Linked DNA regions of Oryctolagus cuniculus. The protein of the gene in region 2 interacts with the protein of the main gene of each other region in a biochemical or structural test. Links are inferred from orthologs where the notes say so. Each region holds a gene or a part of one and is shown on either strand. Other genes may lie near its edges.

Evidence for each region. The genes of interacting proteins can lie anywhere in the genome.
Region 1: the proteins of RAD51 (region 2) and RAD52 form a complex in vitro, tested with the Homo sapiens proteins (6 studies listed by BioGRID). The link is inferred for Oryctolagus cuniculus from reciprocal best matches to the Homo sapiens genes RAD51 and RAD52.

The regions. Positions count from the first base shown.
Region 1 is NC_091440.1:98,758,155-98,765,994, reverse strand, and holds the start of RAD52 (DNA repair protein RAD52 homolog), read left to right. Parts: upstream 1-2,460; 5' UTR 2,461-6,567; intron 6,568-7,840. UniProt on the Homo sapiens protein: Involved in double-stranded break repair. Plays a central role in genetic recombination and DNA repair by promoting the annealing of complementary single-stranded DNA and by stimulation of the RAD51 recombinase.
Region 2 is NC_091443.1:63,836,441-63,844,357, reverse strand, and holds the start of RAD51 (DNA repair protein RAD51 homolog 1), read right to left. Parts: upstream 5,094-7,917; 5' UTR 4,832-5,093; intron 1-4,831.

The DNA of each region.
Region 1 (7,840 bases), on a different chromosome or scaffold from region 2:
CTAAAATATATTTTATTTTGGCCAGCGCCATGGCTCAATAGGCTAATCCTCCACCTGCGGCACTGGCACACCAGGTTCTAGTCCCGGTCGGGGTGCTGGATTCTGTCCTGGTTGCCCCTCTTCCAGTCCAGCTCTATGCTGTGGCCTGGGAAGGCAGCGGAGGATGGCCCAAGTGCTTGGGTCCTGCACCCGCATGGGAGACCAGGAGGAGCACCTGGCTCCTGGCTTCGGATCAGCGCGATGCGCCGGCCGCAGTGCGCCAGCCACAGTGGCCATTGGGGGGTGAAACAACAGCAAAAAGGAAGACCTTTCTCTCTGTCTCTCTCTGTCACTGTCCACTCTGCCTGTCAAAAAAATTTTTATTTATTTATTTGAGAAATGCAGAGTCACAGATGGAGAGAGGAATAAACAGAAAGAAAGGTCTTCCATCCGCTGGTTCACTCCCAAAATGGCCACAATTGATAGGCTGATAGGGCTGATAGGAAGCCAGGAGCCAGGAGCCAGGAGCCAGGAGCTTCTTCTGAGTTTCCCACGTGGGTGAAAGGGTCCAAGTAGTTGGATCATCTTCCACGGCTTTCCCAGGCCATTAGCAGAGAGCTGGATCAGAAGAGGAGCAGCTGGAACACAAACATATGGGATGAGGGTGCTGCAGGTGGAAGTTTAGCCTACTAAGCGGCAGCACAGATCCAGAAAATGTGGTCTATAAACACAATGGAATATCATTAAGGCCTTTTTTTTTTTTTTTTTTTTTTTTTTTTTGACAGGCAGAGTGGACAGTGAGAGAGAGAGACAGAGAGAAAGGTCTTCCTTTGCCGTTGGTTCACCCTCCAATGGCCGCCGCGGCCGGCGCGCTATGGCCAGTGCACCACGCTGATCTGAAGGCAGGAGCCAGGTGCTTCTCCTGGTCTCCCATGGGGTGCAGGGCCCAAGCACTTGGGCTATCCTCCACTGCACTCCCTGGCCACAGCAGAGAGCTGGCCTGGAAGAGGGGCAACCGGGACAGAATCCGGTGCCCCGACCGCGACTAGAACCTGGTGTGCCGGCGCCGCTAGGCGGAGGATTAGCCTGTTGAGCCTCGGCGCCGGCCTTATTAAGGCTTTAAAAAGAAGAAAATCTGACATACATCACAATGTGAATGAACATGTGGGACACTGCATTAAATGAATTAAGCCAGTCTCAGAAGGACACATTATGCTCAAATTCATGTATATGAGGAATCTGAAATAGTCAAATGCAAAGGAACAGAGGTTGAATAGTGGTTGACAGGGGCTGGTGGGAGGAGTAAATGCAGGATAACTGTTCCATTGGTAAAGAGTTTCAGTTATGCAAGCTGGGAAAGTTTGAGAGATTTATTATTCATCATTGTGCTTATGGCTAAAATATACTGTATCCTGTACTTATAACACTTGCCAAGGGTCATATGTTATTTTTAAAAAGCAGAAGCCAGGAAACCAGGAACTTCTGTCTCTCCCATGTAGGTGCAAGGGCCCAAGGACTTGGGTCATCCTCCACTGCTTTCCCAGTAGATTAGCAGGGAGCTGGATGGGAAGTGGAGCAGCCATATGGGATGCTGGTACTGCAGGCAGCCGCTTAATCTGCTAGGCCAAAATGTCAGCCCTTTGTCTCTTATTTTTATGAATACATATATGATGCAAAATTACTATGACATTGGATTTAAGTTATTTTTAATTTAACAAAAATTTAAAATGTATTTCAGACAGAGAGGGAGAGGAGGGAGGGAGGGAGGAGGAGGAGGAGGAGGAGGAGAGGGAGAGGGAGAGGGAGAGGGAGAGGGAGAGGGAGAGGGAGAGGGAGAGGGAGAGGGAGAGGGAGAGGGAGAGGGAGAGAGAGGAAGAGAGTGCTCCCATCTGCTGGTTCACTCCCCAGATGTTTGCAACATCCAGAGTTGCACTAGGCCAAAGGCCTGAGCCAGGAACACAGTCTAAGTCCCCCACATGGGTGACAGGAATCCAATTACTTGAGCCCCTGCTGCTGCCCCTCAATGTCTGCATTAGTAGGGAGCTGGAATTAGGAGTTGCAGCTGAGACTCGAACTCAGGTACTCCAGTGCGGGCCATGGGTGTCTGCCCCGATACTGGCACTTCTGAAGACTGCAGTGCCTCTCAGTACATATAAACAAATCTAACCAATAAGCCCCGCCCTTAACACACATTTTTTCTGTTAATTGAATGCTCCTCATTTTACGTTTGTCTGCTCTTCGTGACTTGGTTATACATTCTGTGCTGGGACACCACACAGATGACGTTGTGCCTTCAGGACAGCACACTGGGAGGCAGCAGTGAGGGCTCAGTGATTGGGTTCCTTCCACACCCATGGGAGACCTGGACTGAGTTCACGGCTCCTGTTCTAGCTCTGGCCATCTTGGGCATTTGGAAAGTGAATCAAGGAATGGGAGCTCTCTCTCACTCTTTTCTCTCTCTCCTCTCAAAAAAAATTTTTTTTTGGATGCTTTCTGATAGATTTAATTTTAGGCAAGTTTTTAAAAATTATTTTTATTGGAGCCAGTGCTGTGGCCTTGTAGGCTCAGCCTCCGCCTGTGTGTGGCACTGGCATCCCATATAGGTGCTGGTTCAAGTCCTTGCTGCTCCTCTTTGGATCCAGCTCTCTGCTATGGCCTAGGAAAACAGTGGAAGATGGCCCAAGTGCTTGGGCTCCTGGCTTTGGATCAGTCCAGCTCTGGCTGTTGTGGCCATTTGCGGGGTGAACCAACAAAAGAAAGACCTTTCTGTCTCTCTCTCTCTCTCGCTGTCTAACTCTGTCAAATAAATTTTAAAAAAATTTTAAAAATTTTAATTGTTGTAAAATACTCATAACATACAATTTACCATCATAAAAATCCTTAGGTGTACAGTTCAGTGGGGTTAAGTACATTCATATTACTGTGTAACCAATCTCCAAAATTCACATATTTTTATAACACTGAAGCTCTATATCCAATAAATAATAGCTCCCCCTTCTATCCTCCCCTTAGCTACTGGCAAACACCCTTCTACTTTCTGTCTTTATGATTTTTACTACTTTAGGTACCTCCTATAACTAGAATCATACAGTATTCGTCTTTCTTAACAGGCTTATTTCACTGACATAATATCCTCAATTTCATCAATGTTTTAGCATGTGTCAAGATTTTCTTCCTTTTATAAAGCAAGTAACAGTCCATTGTATGAGTAGTGGTTAAGAGGCTGCTTGGGACATCCATATACTATACTGGAGGGCCTGTTCACCCTGGGAGGAGGCAGATGATGGCTCAAGTACTTAGGTTCCACGTGGGAGACTATGATGGAGTTTTGAGTTCCTGGCTTTGGCCTAGCCCAGCCCTGGTTGTTGTGGGCATGTGGGGAGTGAATTGGAAAATGAAAGGTCTGTCTCAGTCTCTCTGTGTCTTTCTACCTTTCAAATAAAAATTTAAAAATAGAAATAAAAATGAAATTTAATTGTGTGTATCTACTACATTTTGTTTTTCAGTTCACCTGTTAATGGAACTTTGGTTGCTTCTACCACTTGGCTTTTGTGAATAATGCTGTTATGAACATGCTGTTAGGAAACATTTCTTGAATGCTTTCCATTCTCTTGGATATTCACACAGAAGTGACATTCCTTGATATATGGTAGTCCTATTTTTAAATTTTTTGTATTTCCATAGTGGCTGTACCATTTTACCTTGCTACCTGCATAGCACAAAGGGTTCGAATTTCTCCACATCTTCAACACTTGTTATTTTCTGTTTTTTAAATACTAGCTATTTTAATGGATGTATTTTTATACATAGTTTAGGCCTTGCCTTTTCTACAGAAAATGATCTTGAGCATTATCATGTCAATAGACATTCTTCTGAACATGATCATTAATGGGTGAATACCTAATAGAGTCTGTAATGTGGTATTTTGTTTCCAGTAAATATTCAGGGTATAAATAATGTGCATGGTAGTCTTGGAAAGAAATCTTTGTAGGGCTAGTGTTGTGGTACAATGGGTTAATGGGCACCAGTTCAAGTCCTAGCTGCTCCATTTCCTATCCAGCTCCCTGCTAATGTGCCTGGGAAAGCTGTAGAAGATGGCCCAAGTGCTTGGGCCCCTGCAGCCACCTGGGAGATCCAGAAGAGGCTCCATGCTCCTGGCTTCAGCCTTGCCCAGACTCAGCTGTTGCAGCCATTTGGAAAGTGAACCAGCGGATGGATGATTTTTCTTGTCTCTCTTCCTCTCTCTTTAGGTCTGCCTTTAAACTAAATAAAAATCTTAAAAAAAAATTATTTCAACTTAGACAGAGAGAGAGAGAGAGAGAGAGATGGGAGAGGGAGAGGAAGGGAGAAGGGGCGGGGGAAGAGGAGGGAGAGGGGGAGGGGCTCTTCCATTGTTGGTGTACTCCCAGATGGCTGCAATGGTCAGTGGTCCAGGGCAATGCAGAAGCTAGGAGCTTCTCCTGGGTCTCCCACATGAGTCACAGGGACCCAAGGACTTGGGCCATCCTCCGCTGGTTTCCCAGGTGCATTAGCAGGGAGCTGGATGGGAAGTGGAGAAGCTGGGACACAAACCTGCACCTATGTGGGATGTCAGCTTTGCAGGTGGTGGCTTTATGTGCTATGCCACAATGCTGGCACAGTGGAATTTCAAAAAGGTTGGGTAGGTAGTTACATTTATATACTTTTTCCTTTATGACTTATTTTTCAATTTTTATTTTTTTAAAGATTTATTTATTAATTTGCAAGTCAGAGTTACACAGAGGAGAGCAAGAGAGAGAGACAGAGAGAGAGGGAGAGAGATCTTCCATCCGATGGTTCACTCCCCAACTGGCTGCAACTTGGGTGCAGAGGCCCAAGGACTTAGGCCATCTTCTACTGCTTTCCCCGGCCATAGCAGAGAGCTGGATTGGAAGAGGAGCATCCAGATCTTGAACCAGCGCCCATATGGGATGCCGGCACTGCAGGCCAGGGTATTAACCCTCTGTGCCAAAGCGTCGGCCCCTATTTTTCAACTTTTATACTTAGAGCATCCTTCTCTAGTCTATTTTTTAAAATCTTGTTTTATGTATCTGTGTGTAACATTTCACCATTAGATTCTACTGTAACTTAAATAGCTAAATAATTGTCTCAGCACCATCTTAAAAATAAACTTTTCTTTCTAGGTTGACTTGAAATACGGTCTATGAGGCTGGCGCTGCTGTTCACTTGGCTAATCCTTTGCCTGCGGCGTTGGCACCCCGGGTTCTAGTCCCAGTTGCCACCCTGGGTTCTGGTCCTGGTTGCCACCCCGGGTTCTAGTCCCGGTTGCGGCGCCGGATTCTGTCCCGGTTGCTCCTCTTCCAGTCCAGCTCTCTGCTCTGGCTCCGGAAGGCAGTGGAGGATGGGAGACCAGGAGGAAGCACCTGGCTCCTGATCGGCGTAGTTCCGGCCATAGAGAACATTTTGGGGTGAACCAACGTAAGGAACACCTTTTTCTCTGTCTCTCTCTCACTGTCTAAGTCTGCCTGTCCAAAAAAAAAAAAAAAAAAAAAAAAAACAAACAAAACAAAACCTTAAAAAAAAAAAAGAAATATGGTCTATGAAACAACAAATAATTTACGCATCGTGGGATTCCAGGGTTCCCACTCGGCTTCCCGCCAGCTGAGTAGGGGCCCTGGATTACTTCCGCCCGGATAGTGAGCCGTTGGGTTCACTGATTTTATTGGAGTTCTCAGTACAGATGCTCTGCGCCTACCACGAATACCTCCACAGACCACAATCTCATTCATGACCGTCTGTACCGTACTTAGGGTGTGATGACTCAACTTCTAAAACCATTTTTTGAGCATTGCTAACAGGATGTGCACTCGTCATCCAGGTCCAGGGAGCTGTGCCATGGGACATTCAGAAGTAGACGTCCCCTCCACCAAGTCTCCACCTAGCCCTTCCCCTCGGCTCCTCGCCACTTTTTAGGACGTCACCAGGTGACGAATGGATGAGCCCGGAGGTGACGAATGAATAAGCGTGTTCACGTTTGGCTTGCTGTGCCTGTCCCGAGAGGAATCCAGGGAGGGATGTAAAAACCATCCCAACAAGACTTAAAAGCGCTATTGCTTTTCCCAATTGTGCAGGGAGAGCTATTGGGGAGGTATTCCCGCCCCGCCCGGAACTGGACCTTGAGTACACGTGATGGCGCGGGAAGACTTGGCCCCAAGAGACCTACGATTAAGCCGCAGCCCCAGAAGGAGCTCGCCAGGTCCACGAGGGTGAGCGGAAGCCCGGGCGGCAGCAGACTGTAAGAAGTTGGCGAGAAAGCGGTTTGCGACACAGAAACCTTCATCATGCAACTAAATTGCTTTACGTCTTCCAGCAGGCTGCTTTGCGGCTCTCCTCCCCATCCGAATTGATTTACGGCTCCTCCTTCTGCTTTTTCAAATCTGTCCCTCACGTCCTCCCGGCTCCCTGAGGCTGATGCTGGGATTAGACCTTCTTCCCAGGGTGCCCTTGCACTTCCTTCCCAGTTTCCTCTGCGCATCCCGTCCCTAGTTCCCGTCGCTTACGTGCTGCCGTACGAGGTTCCCTGCGTGCACTGCGCGTTGCCGGAGGCGCGTAAGTGAGGAGGGGGAGGCTGGTCCTGTTTCCGTGGTTCCGGCTGGGGATTGTGGAACGTGGCGCCGCTCAGATTCCGAGCGGAGCACTGGGGAGACGTTTGAGCTCGTCTTGCGGGTGTCCAGAGGCCTGTGCTAATTCATTAGTGCAGCAAGAGGATCTGGATCAGGGCTTTGCGAGGCAGTGGGTGGGAGGAACGGGGGGCGCAGCGCGCGCACCGGGACCCCTCCGTGGGAATGGCGACCACGCCCGGGCCCTACCTGTTTACCAGAGTGTCAGTAGCTGCCGGACAGCTGCTTGTATGGAGTAGGTGAAGTTGGGAAGAAGTGATCGACTAAAAAGGCATTTGGCTCTCTGTTTAGCCGTGTATTCAGCCGTTGTAGACTGTTGTAAAAATTGTGATACAATTCATGTGCAGCTGAAGTCACCCCTTTAAATTGTACAGCCTGCTGTTTTCCAGTGTATTTGCGTGGCGGTGGCCATTATCTAATCCAAGACAACGTTTTCATCACCCCCAGAAAGAAGCCCCGAGGCCCGTTAGTCCACACCTGTCTTCCAACACCCCTAATCCCCTTCTTGTCTGCGAGTTTGCCTCTTCCCAATATTTCTTGTACGTGAAATCCTACGGGGACATTTTAAAAAGTTCTCAGGACAATGGAATTCAAAGATAACTTGAGTTTGGTGTGAAATAATTTGAAATCCATGCATTTTTTTTTGTCATTTTTAAGATTTATTTATTTGAAAGGCAGAGTTACAGAGAGGCAGTGGCAGAGAGGTCTTCCATCTGCTGGTTCACTCCCCAAGTTGTAGCAATGGCTAGAGCTGTGCCGATCCGAAGCCAGGAGCCAAGAGCTTCTTCTGGGTCTCCCATGTGGGTGCAGGTGCCCAAAGACTTGGGCCATCTCCTACTGCTTTCCCAGGCCATAACAGAGAGTTGGATCAGAAGTGGAGCAGCAGGGACTCAAACCGGCGCCCATATGGGATGCTGGCACTGCAGGTGGCGGGTTTACCCACTACGCTACAGCGCCAGCCCCAGAGTTTGTCTTTTTAAAGTCTTCAGTTTTCTCAGTCCAGCACCCATGAGACCATTACCTGTATAGGTGACATGTAGGAAAGAGTGAGTGCGCCTGTCTTCCCAGGGAGGCAGAAACCATGGATGTTGCTGTTGTGTGATATAGGTTTATCCTAAACCATAAACTGTAAACAGGGTGTGGTTGGCATGAGTGCAAGAAAACTTAGCTAGTTGTAGGAGAGAGCTTTCCCTACAAAACAA
Region 2 (7,917 bases):
TCTCTAACTCTTTCAAATAAATAAGGAAAAAAAAACCCATTGGGTTTTCTGCTGATTATATGATGGCACATCAGAAATATTAGGTGGGGGCTGGCGCTGTGGCACAGAGGGTTAATGCCCTGGCCTTAAGTGTTGGCATCCCATATGGATGCCGGTTTGGAGACCTGGTTGCTCCACTTTTGATCCAACTCTCTGCTGTGGCCTGGGGGTTGGGGGGGCAGTACTAGATGGTTCAAATCCTTGGACTCCAGCACCCACGTGGGAGACCCGGAAGAAGCTCCTGTTCCTGGCTTCGGATCGGCGCAGCTCTGGCCACTGTGGCCAACTGGGGAATGAGCCATCAGATGGGAAGACCGACCTCTCTCTCTCTCTGCCTCTCCTCTCTCTCTGCAACTCTGACTTTCAAATAAATAAATACATCTTTGGGGGAAAAAAAAAAGAAGAAGAAATGTTAGGTGTTTGCTAAATGATTATAGACTCTTTAGGACTATGAAAGGTTAAACTATTTTAGTTCTGTTTTCTTCCAGTAAGAGGAGCATGGGGGTTAGAGGACTATTAAAAGATATAGAGTGGTGACCCACTCTATATAAGCTCCATTCATGGTAGAGAAAGAACAAACAGATTAGGGAAGCACCTCTGGGGGCTGGCTTGAGGCATAGCAGGTTAAGCCTTGGCCCAAGACACTGGCATTCCATATGGGTGCCGGTTCGAGTCCCAGCTGCTCCACCTCCAATCCAGTTCCCTGCTAATGTGCCTGGGAAGGCAGCAGATGGTCCAAGTGCTTGGGCCCTCCACCCACGTAGGAGCCCCAGAAAAGCTCCAGGCTCTTGGCTTCAGGTCTGGCCCAGCTCGGGCTGTTGCAGCCATCTGGGGAGTGAACCAGTGGATGGAAGATCTCTTCTCGGCTCCTTTCTCTATAACTCTTTCAAATTAAAAAGAAAAAAAAAGGACGCCCCATCACAAGCAAGGATCATAGCTTATAGCCATACTTAAACTTCCAACAGGAGTGTATGGAATTTAAAGATCACTATTTTAGTCAATGCCAGACTTCAGTGAATAAGCAAATAAAGCAGGTAAATACCCTGATCATTCTGAAATCTTCAATTTAATTGTAAAGTCTATTCCTAAAATAAAATTATTATGCTAAAGTTAAGATTGGTCAGCCTGGGGCCAGAGCTGTGGCATAGTAGGTAGGCTAAGCCTCTGCTTGTGGCACTGGCATCCCAAATGGGTGTTGGTTTGTGTCCTGGCTGCTTCTCTTCAGATCCAGCTCTCTGCTTATGCCCTGGGAGAGCAGTGGAAAATGGCCCAAATACTTGGGCCCCTGCATCTGCACAGGAGACCCAGAAGCTCCTGGCTTCGGATCAACACAGCTCTGGCTGTTGTAACCATTTGAGTTTAACTCTGTAACTTTTTCTCAAGTAAATAAAATCTTGGGGCCAGCACTGTGGTGTACAGGGTAAAGCTGCCACCTACAGTGCAGGCATCCCATATGGTTGTTGGTTCAAGTCCCGGCTGCTCTACTTCCAATCCAGCTCTCTGCTATGGCCTGGAAAAGCAGAAGATGGTGCAAGTCCGTGGGCCCCTGCACCCGTGTGGGAGACCCAAAAGAAGCTCCTGGTTTTAGACTGGCACAGCTGTAGCCACTGCAGCCATTTGGGGAGTGAACCAGTAGATGGAAGACCTCTCTCTCTCTCTCTCTCTCTAATTCTGCCTTTCAAATAATAAAATAAACCTTTGAAAAAACTTAAAAAAAAAAAAAAAAAGATTGATGGGGCCAGTGCTGTGGTGCAGCGGGTTAAAGCCCTGGCCTGGGGCACCAGCATCCCATATGGGCACCGGTTCTAGTGCTGGCTGCCTCTCTTCCAACCCAGCTCTCTGCTGTGGCCTGTGAGGGCAGTGGAAGATGGCCCAGGTCCTTGGGCCCCTGCACCCACGTGGGAGACCTGGAAGAGGCTCCTGGCTTCGGATCGGCATGGGTCTGGCCGTTGCGGCCATCTGAGGAGTGAATCACTTGATGGAAGACCTCTCTCTATGTCTCTACCTCTGTGACTCTGTCTTTCAAATGAATAAAAAATAAATCTTAAACAAACAAACAAAAAAGATTGGTCAGCTTGCGGGGCTCGTGTTGTACAAAGCAATGCTGGCATCCCACTGAGTGCTGGTTCCAAGCCCCAGCTCCTCTGCTTCTGATACAGCTTTCTGCTAATGCACTTGTGAAGGCAGCAGAAGATGGCCCAAACACGGGGCCCTGCTACCCTTGGATGGAGTTCCTGGCTCCTGGCTTCTGCCTGACTCAGATGTGGCTGTTGTGGCAATCTGGGAGTGAACCATTAGATTGAAGCTCTCTCACCCTCTCTCTGTTGATCTACCTTTTAAATAAATAAATAAAACTTGAAAGAATTCTTCCTTAATACATACAAAATGTGTATATGTAAACAACTATGCATGGATTTCAAAGTTGATTTGCAACAAAATAAACTCCTTATTTTAAATTCCACTTCCCATGAACTTTCTGAGGTACCCTCTCTCATCTGAGGACAGTCTGACAGATAGGAATTCCAGGGCATGTTACAGAGCAGCAGGTTCAACACCCGCTTCCGAACACCTGCATCCCATATTAGGGTCAATCTTGTCTCCTGATTCGGCTACCTGCTAATGTGCTTGAGAAGGCAGTGGAAGACAACCCAAGTGCTTGTGCCCCCTGCCACACAAATGGAACACCAAGATAGAGTTCCTGGCTCCTTGCTTCAACCTGGCTCAGACCTGGCTGTAGCAGCCATTTAGGGGAGTGAACCACTAGATAGAGGATCCTTCTCTCTCTCTCTGCCTTTCAAATAAATAAGTATATTCTACCAAAAAAAAAAAAAAAAAAGATGAATTCCACACTTGGAGGCTTGACAGACAATGCTGGATGACCATCTGGTCTGGCTCAAGTACAGATCTCTTAGCAGCAGATTTAGCATACTGAGTTGATAAGAATGCCATGTATCAGAATCAGCTGAATGCAACAGAAAAACCTCCACTGTCTAATTTATGAAAATAGATTCACTGCAGAGCAATGGGGAAGGATGGTCATCTCAGTAAATAGTACTGGGCCGACTGGGTAGTCTTGCAGAATAAAATGGACTTGATCCCTCTCATATCACAGAAAAAAAAGTCAATTTCCAATTTAGATTACAGATTTAAATTTAAGAGGTAAAAACAATCATAACCAGACCAGGAGAAGCACCTGGCTCCTGCCTTCGGATCAGCGCGGTGCGCTGGCCGCAGCACAGCAGCCATTGGAGGCTGAACCAACGGCAAAGGAAGACCTTTCTCTCTGTCTCTCTCTCTCACTGTCCACTCTGCCTGTCCAAAAAAAAAAAAATATATATATATATATATACACACACACATATATATATAAAACCATGGGAAAGGCCGGCGCCGCGGCTCACTAGGCTAATCCTCCGCCTAGCGGCGCCGGCACACCGGGTTCTAGTCCCGGTCGGGGCGCCGGATTCTGTCCCGGTTGCCCCTCTTCCAGGCCAGCCCTCTGCTGTGGCCAGGGAGTGCAGTGGAGGATGGCCCAGGTGCTTGGGCCCTGCACCCCATGGGAGACCAGGAAAAGCACCTGGCTCCTGGCTCCTGCCATCGGATCAGCGCGGTGCGCCGGCTGCAGCGCGCCGGCCGCGGCGGCTATTGGAGGGTGAACCAACGGCAAAGGAAGACCTTTCTGTCTCTCTCTCTCACTGTCCACTCTGCCTGTCAAAAAAAAAAAAAAAAAAAAAAAAAACAAAAACCATGGGAAAGAGAAAGAATTCTTCAACTGGATACCTAGTGTGATAACCAAAAAGGAAAAGACTGAAAAACTGGGCTACACTTACACTCAGAACTTCTATCCCTCAAGATACCATTAAGAGAATGAGAAGTCAAATAAAGAAAATATTTACCATATAAAACTGATGGCTGTTAATCAGAATATAAAGAATGCCTTCAAACCAGGAGGAAAAAGATAATCAGTAGAAAAATAGGTAGAAATTGAATAGCCACTTCACAAGACGTCCAAATGGTCAAGAAACATATGAACAAATGCCTAACCTCATCAATATCAGGAAAGTTAAAATTTAAGCCACAATGAAATATTACTATTTACTAGAATACCTAAAAATAAAAAGAATGACGAAGATCAAGTGTTGGCAAGTATGTGGAAAAAGTAAACTCTCAAAACTTCTGGTGCATTCATACAAAATTCAAAAACAGCCGGTATTCGTTAATGGTATACACGGTTAACAGAAGAGAGAAAATAAGCGACAAGGGGGCAGAAGAGAGGCTGCTGGGGTGCTGACAGCATTCTGTTTGACATGCATGATTACACAGGTGTATTCATTTTGCAATAATCGCTGTATACGCTTGGGACGTGCGCGTTTCTATATTGTGTTTCAGTCCACTTTAGAAGGCTTTCTGCGTGCCAAATCCCACTTCGGAAAATTTCCTAGGCACCATATGAATGCTTTTCCATCTAAAGCATGAAAATATCTTTCTGGCAACTTAAGGTTGGTACTTTGTAAGCAGAAAATGGTGTCATGGACAGACGGAGCAGAACACGGAAATGCAGGCGGCGTGAAACAGCTGTGACTACACTGCTCAGGACAGGCGGCCGCTGGGACTCTCCACAACGAGCCCCAAGTCCGTTGGGCGCAGGCACGCCCCGGCTCCGCCATCTTCCGTTTTTTCACCAGCAGATCCCAAAAGCCGGCCGAGGGAGCACAGGCCCCTGTCTGCGCCCGGTCAACGAGAGGAGGAGCCGCGGCCGTGGAAACAGGCCAGGCCGACGACTTACACTCACCTGGGCCTAACAGCGTTGCTCGCTCGGGCTTCTGTCCGCTGATCCGGCGCACGCTCGACCCCCGGAGGGCCTCGGCCCCGACCCGAGACCCACTTGTCCACGCCTTGCTCCGGCCCTCTGCGCACAACCTCGGCGAGTTTCAAATCCAACCCCGTGACCAGCGGAAGGTTTCAGCTCCCCTCAAGACCCGGTCAACACAGCTGGTCCTGCGGGGCGGCTTTCGGAAGTCCCGCCAAAACCCTCAGGGCGGCGTCACGCACGCGTCGGCGTCGCGCCGCCCCGCCCCTCGCGCTCCGCCGGCCGCCCGAGCTCGGGGCCGTAGGGAAAGGGCTGAGGAGCTTGGCACCGCGTGGTGTTATGAGTTTCCCACCTCCCTTAAACGCAAGGACTAATCAAAACTTTCTAAATCGCCACCTTCTTGTCTTCACGAGATGGAGGACCACAACTCCCAGGAGCTGGAGTGGTGGGGCCGGGGCTGTATCTCCCGGGAGGCGCCGGTGGGCGCTCTGACTTCCGGGAGACCTGTTGGTTGTGTCTGTAGTTCTTTGAATGTGGGCTTTTGGTTCTTCTGGGAGCTGTACCCTGGAGCCGAGCGCTTTCCAGGCCCCCGACAGGGGTGGAGTTGAGGAATCTGTGGCAGATGGATGAAAATGGAGCTAGCAGAGGGGAGAAAGAAATGTCTCCGTGTCTGTCATCTGCAGTGACTTACTGGAGATTGGCAGGACCCCAGAGGAAGGAGGCGCAGAATTTGAGAAGGCAAACCTTACGGTTTACCAGGACGTTCGTCCTGTGATTCCGATTTTGAAAGCTGGGTAGAGTTTTTGGGTGAAGAAGCAAGCGGTGGAAGACATAAAAACAGTGCAGTGTGGGCTTGCGGATAAACTTTGTTCAAGGAATAATGTTGTCTGATGAGGAAGAATGGAGACCAGGAAAGTTACATTTAGTTCAAGCTAAGAGGTGTAAGGAGCTTTGGTCTTTACTTTGGGAAATAACGAAGTATTTCTTTTAAAGTCAGAGAGAAGGGGTTCTTCCATCCGCTGGTTCACTTTCTTTGGGCTGGGCCAGGCCAAAGCCAGGAGCCACGAACTCATCAGGGTCTCCCACGAGGGTGACAGGAACCCACATAATTGGACCATCATTTGCTACCTCCCAGGTTCATTAGCAGGTTGTGGAGATGAAGCTCCTGGCACCTGGCTTCAGCCTGGCCCAGCTCCTAACCTTAACGCCATTTATGCTGCGAACCAGCAAATGAAAGATCTATCTGTCTCTGTGTAACTATGCCTTTCAAATGAATAAAACAAATCTGAGAAGAGGAGGGGAACAGAGGAAGAACTTCATCCCAAGCACTCTGATGCTGGCATCCCAAGCATCCGCTTTTAGCTGCTGTGTCAGAACACTGACCCCCAAATAATTCAGTTTTAAGATGAGTCATAGGTTAGATTTACTTTCCCCCCTACTACTACTATTTTCTGTTTGTTGAGTGCTTTAAAGTTAACAGCTCACACCATCCTCTTGCCATCATCTCGTGGCATTAAAAAACAATTTCAAGAAGGAGCAGAGACAGCAAAAATCCATTCAGAAGCTTGTGCAACATTTCAGGCCAGAGTTGAAGGCTTAAGTTAGGGCATCGACAGAGAACAGATTCAAGAGCCATTCTAGACCTAGGAAAAATCTTTAGTAATTTAGTGATTAACTTAGATAGGGCCTAGGATTACAGTAAACTATTTTCCATACAAAAACTACCCACTTTCGCCCAACCCCTTGTTCATACTCTTTCAGCTCAAAAAGTCTACAAAACCACAGTCCTTTCCCCACCAGTGAGGTCACATGACTTTGACCTTTCCAGTCACAACTAAGCGACCAGCAGTGTTCATTTAATCCAAAATGGGCTATCTATATTCTTGCTCCTGAAGATTAAAATTGGGATTTAGAGTCAAGTCTAGTGAATAAATAAAATTCATTTTCTTTCTGTTTAGACCAATTACACAAATGGAAACCACCCCAACTGCATTCTGTCTCTTTTATTCTCCCAGAGAAAGGTAAGAACTATCATCAGTGGCAAATGGCAGTTGGACCAAAGCAACACCAGCTTCATACTCAGGACAAACAGCTTTGTTTCTTCCTCATATATTCAGAGAGCCTTCCCTAGTAGCTATAGAAACGATCCCTTAATGTAAAGTCTTCTCTAAAATGAACTGACTAGTTTTTAATCTCTTTCCTTCAAAACAATCCACTAAGAACTTGGAGGGGTCAGGGCTGTGACATAGTAGGTTAATCCTCCACCTGCAGTGCCAGCATCCCATATAGGCGCTGGTTCAGGTCCCAGTTGTTCCACTTCCGATCCAGATCTCTGCTATGGCCTGGGAAAGCAGTAGATGGCCCAGGTCCTTGGGCCTCTGCACCCATGTGGGAGATCTGGAAGAAGCTCTCAGCTCCTGGCTTTGGATTGGCACAGCTCTAGCTGTTGTGGCCAATTGGGAAGTGAACTAGTGGATCGAAGCCCTCTCTCTCTCTGCCTCCCCTCTCTCTCTGTGTAACTCTGCCCTTCAAATAAATAAATCAATCTTAAAAACAAAAACAAAAACAAAAACAAACAAAAAAAAAAAACAAAGAGGGGCAGGCATTTGTCTTAGCTGCTGAACCATCCATGTCCCATATCAGTACCTGGGTTTGCTGGCCAGTTCCAACTTCCTTCTGATGTAGTCCTGGGGAGGCAGCAGGGATGGCTCAAGTAAATGGGTACCTCACCTATGTGAGTTCCAGTCACCTGGATTTGGCCCTCAGCGTAGCCTAGGGGATGAGCATGGGGATGAGCAAACAGATGGGAGCTTTCTGTCTCTCAAATAAAAAATAACAGACTCTTCAGGAAACTCAAAATAGTTTTCTTTTACTGTGTTTCAGGGACGTGAGGATAGCTCTGGTTTGTACTTGGGCCCTGCCACTCATGTGGAAGACCTGGATGAAGCTCTGGGCTCTTGGCTTCAGCTTGACCTGGTCCTGGCTATTGCGGCCTTTCAGGTAAATAAATCTTTTTGATACATGGTCAAATACTCCTCACTTAATAAAGACATATTATTTACAAAGGA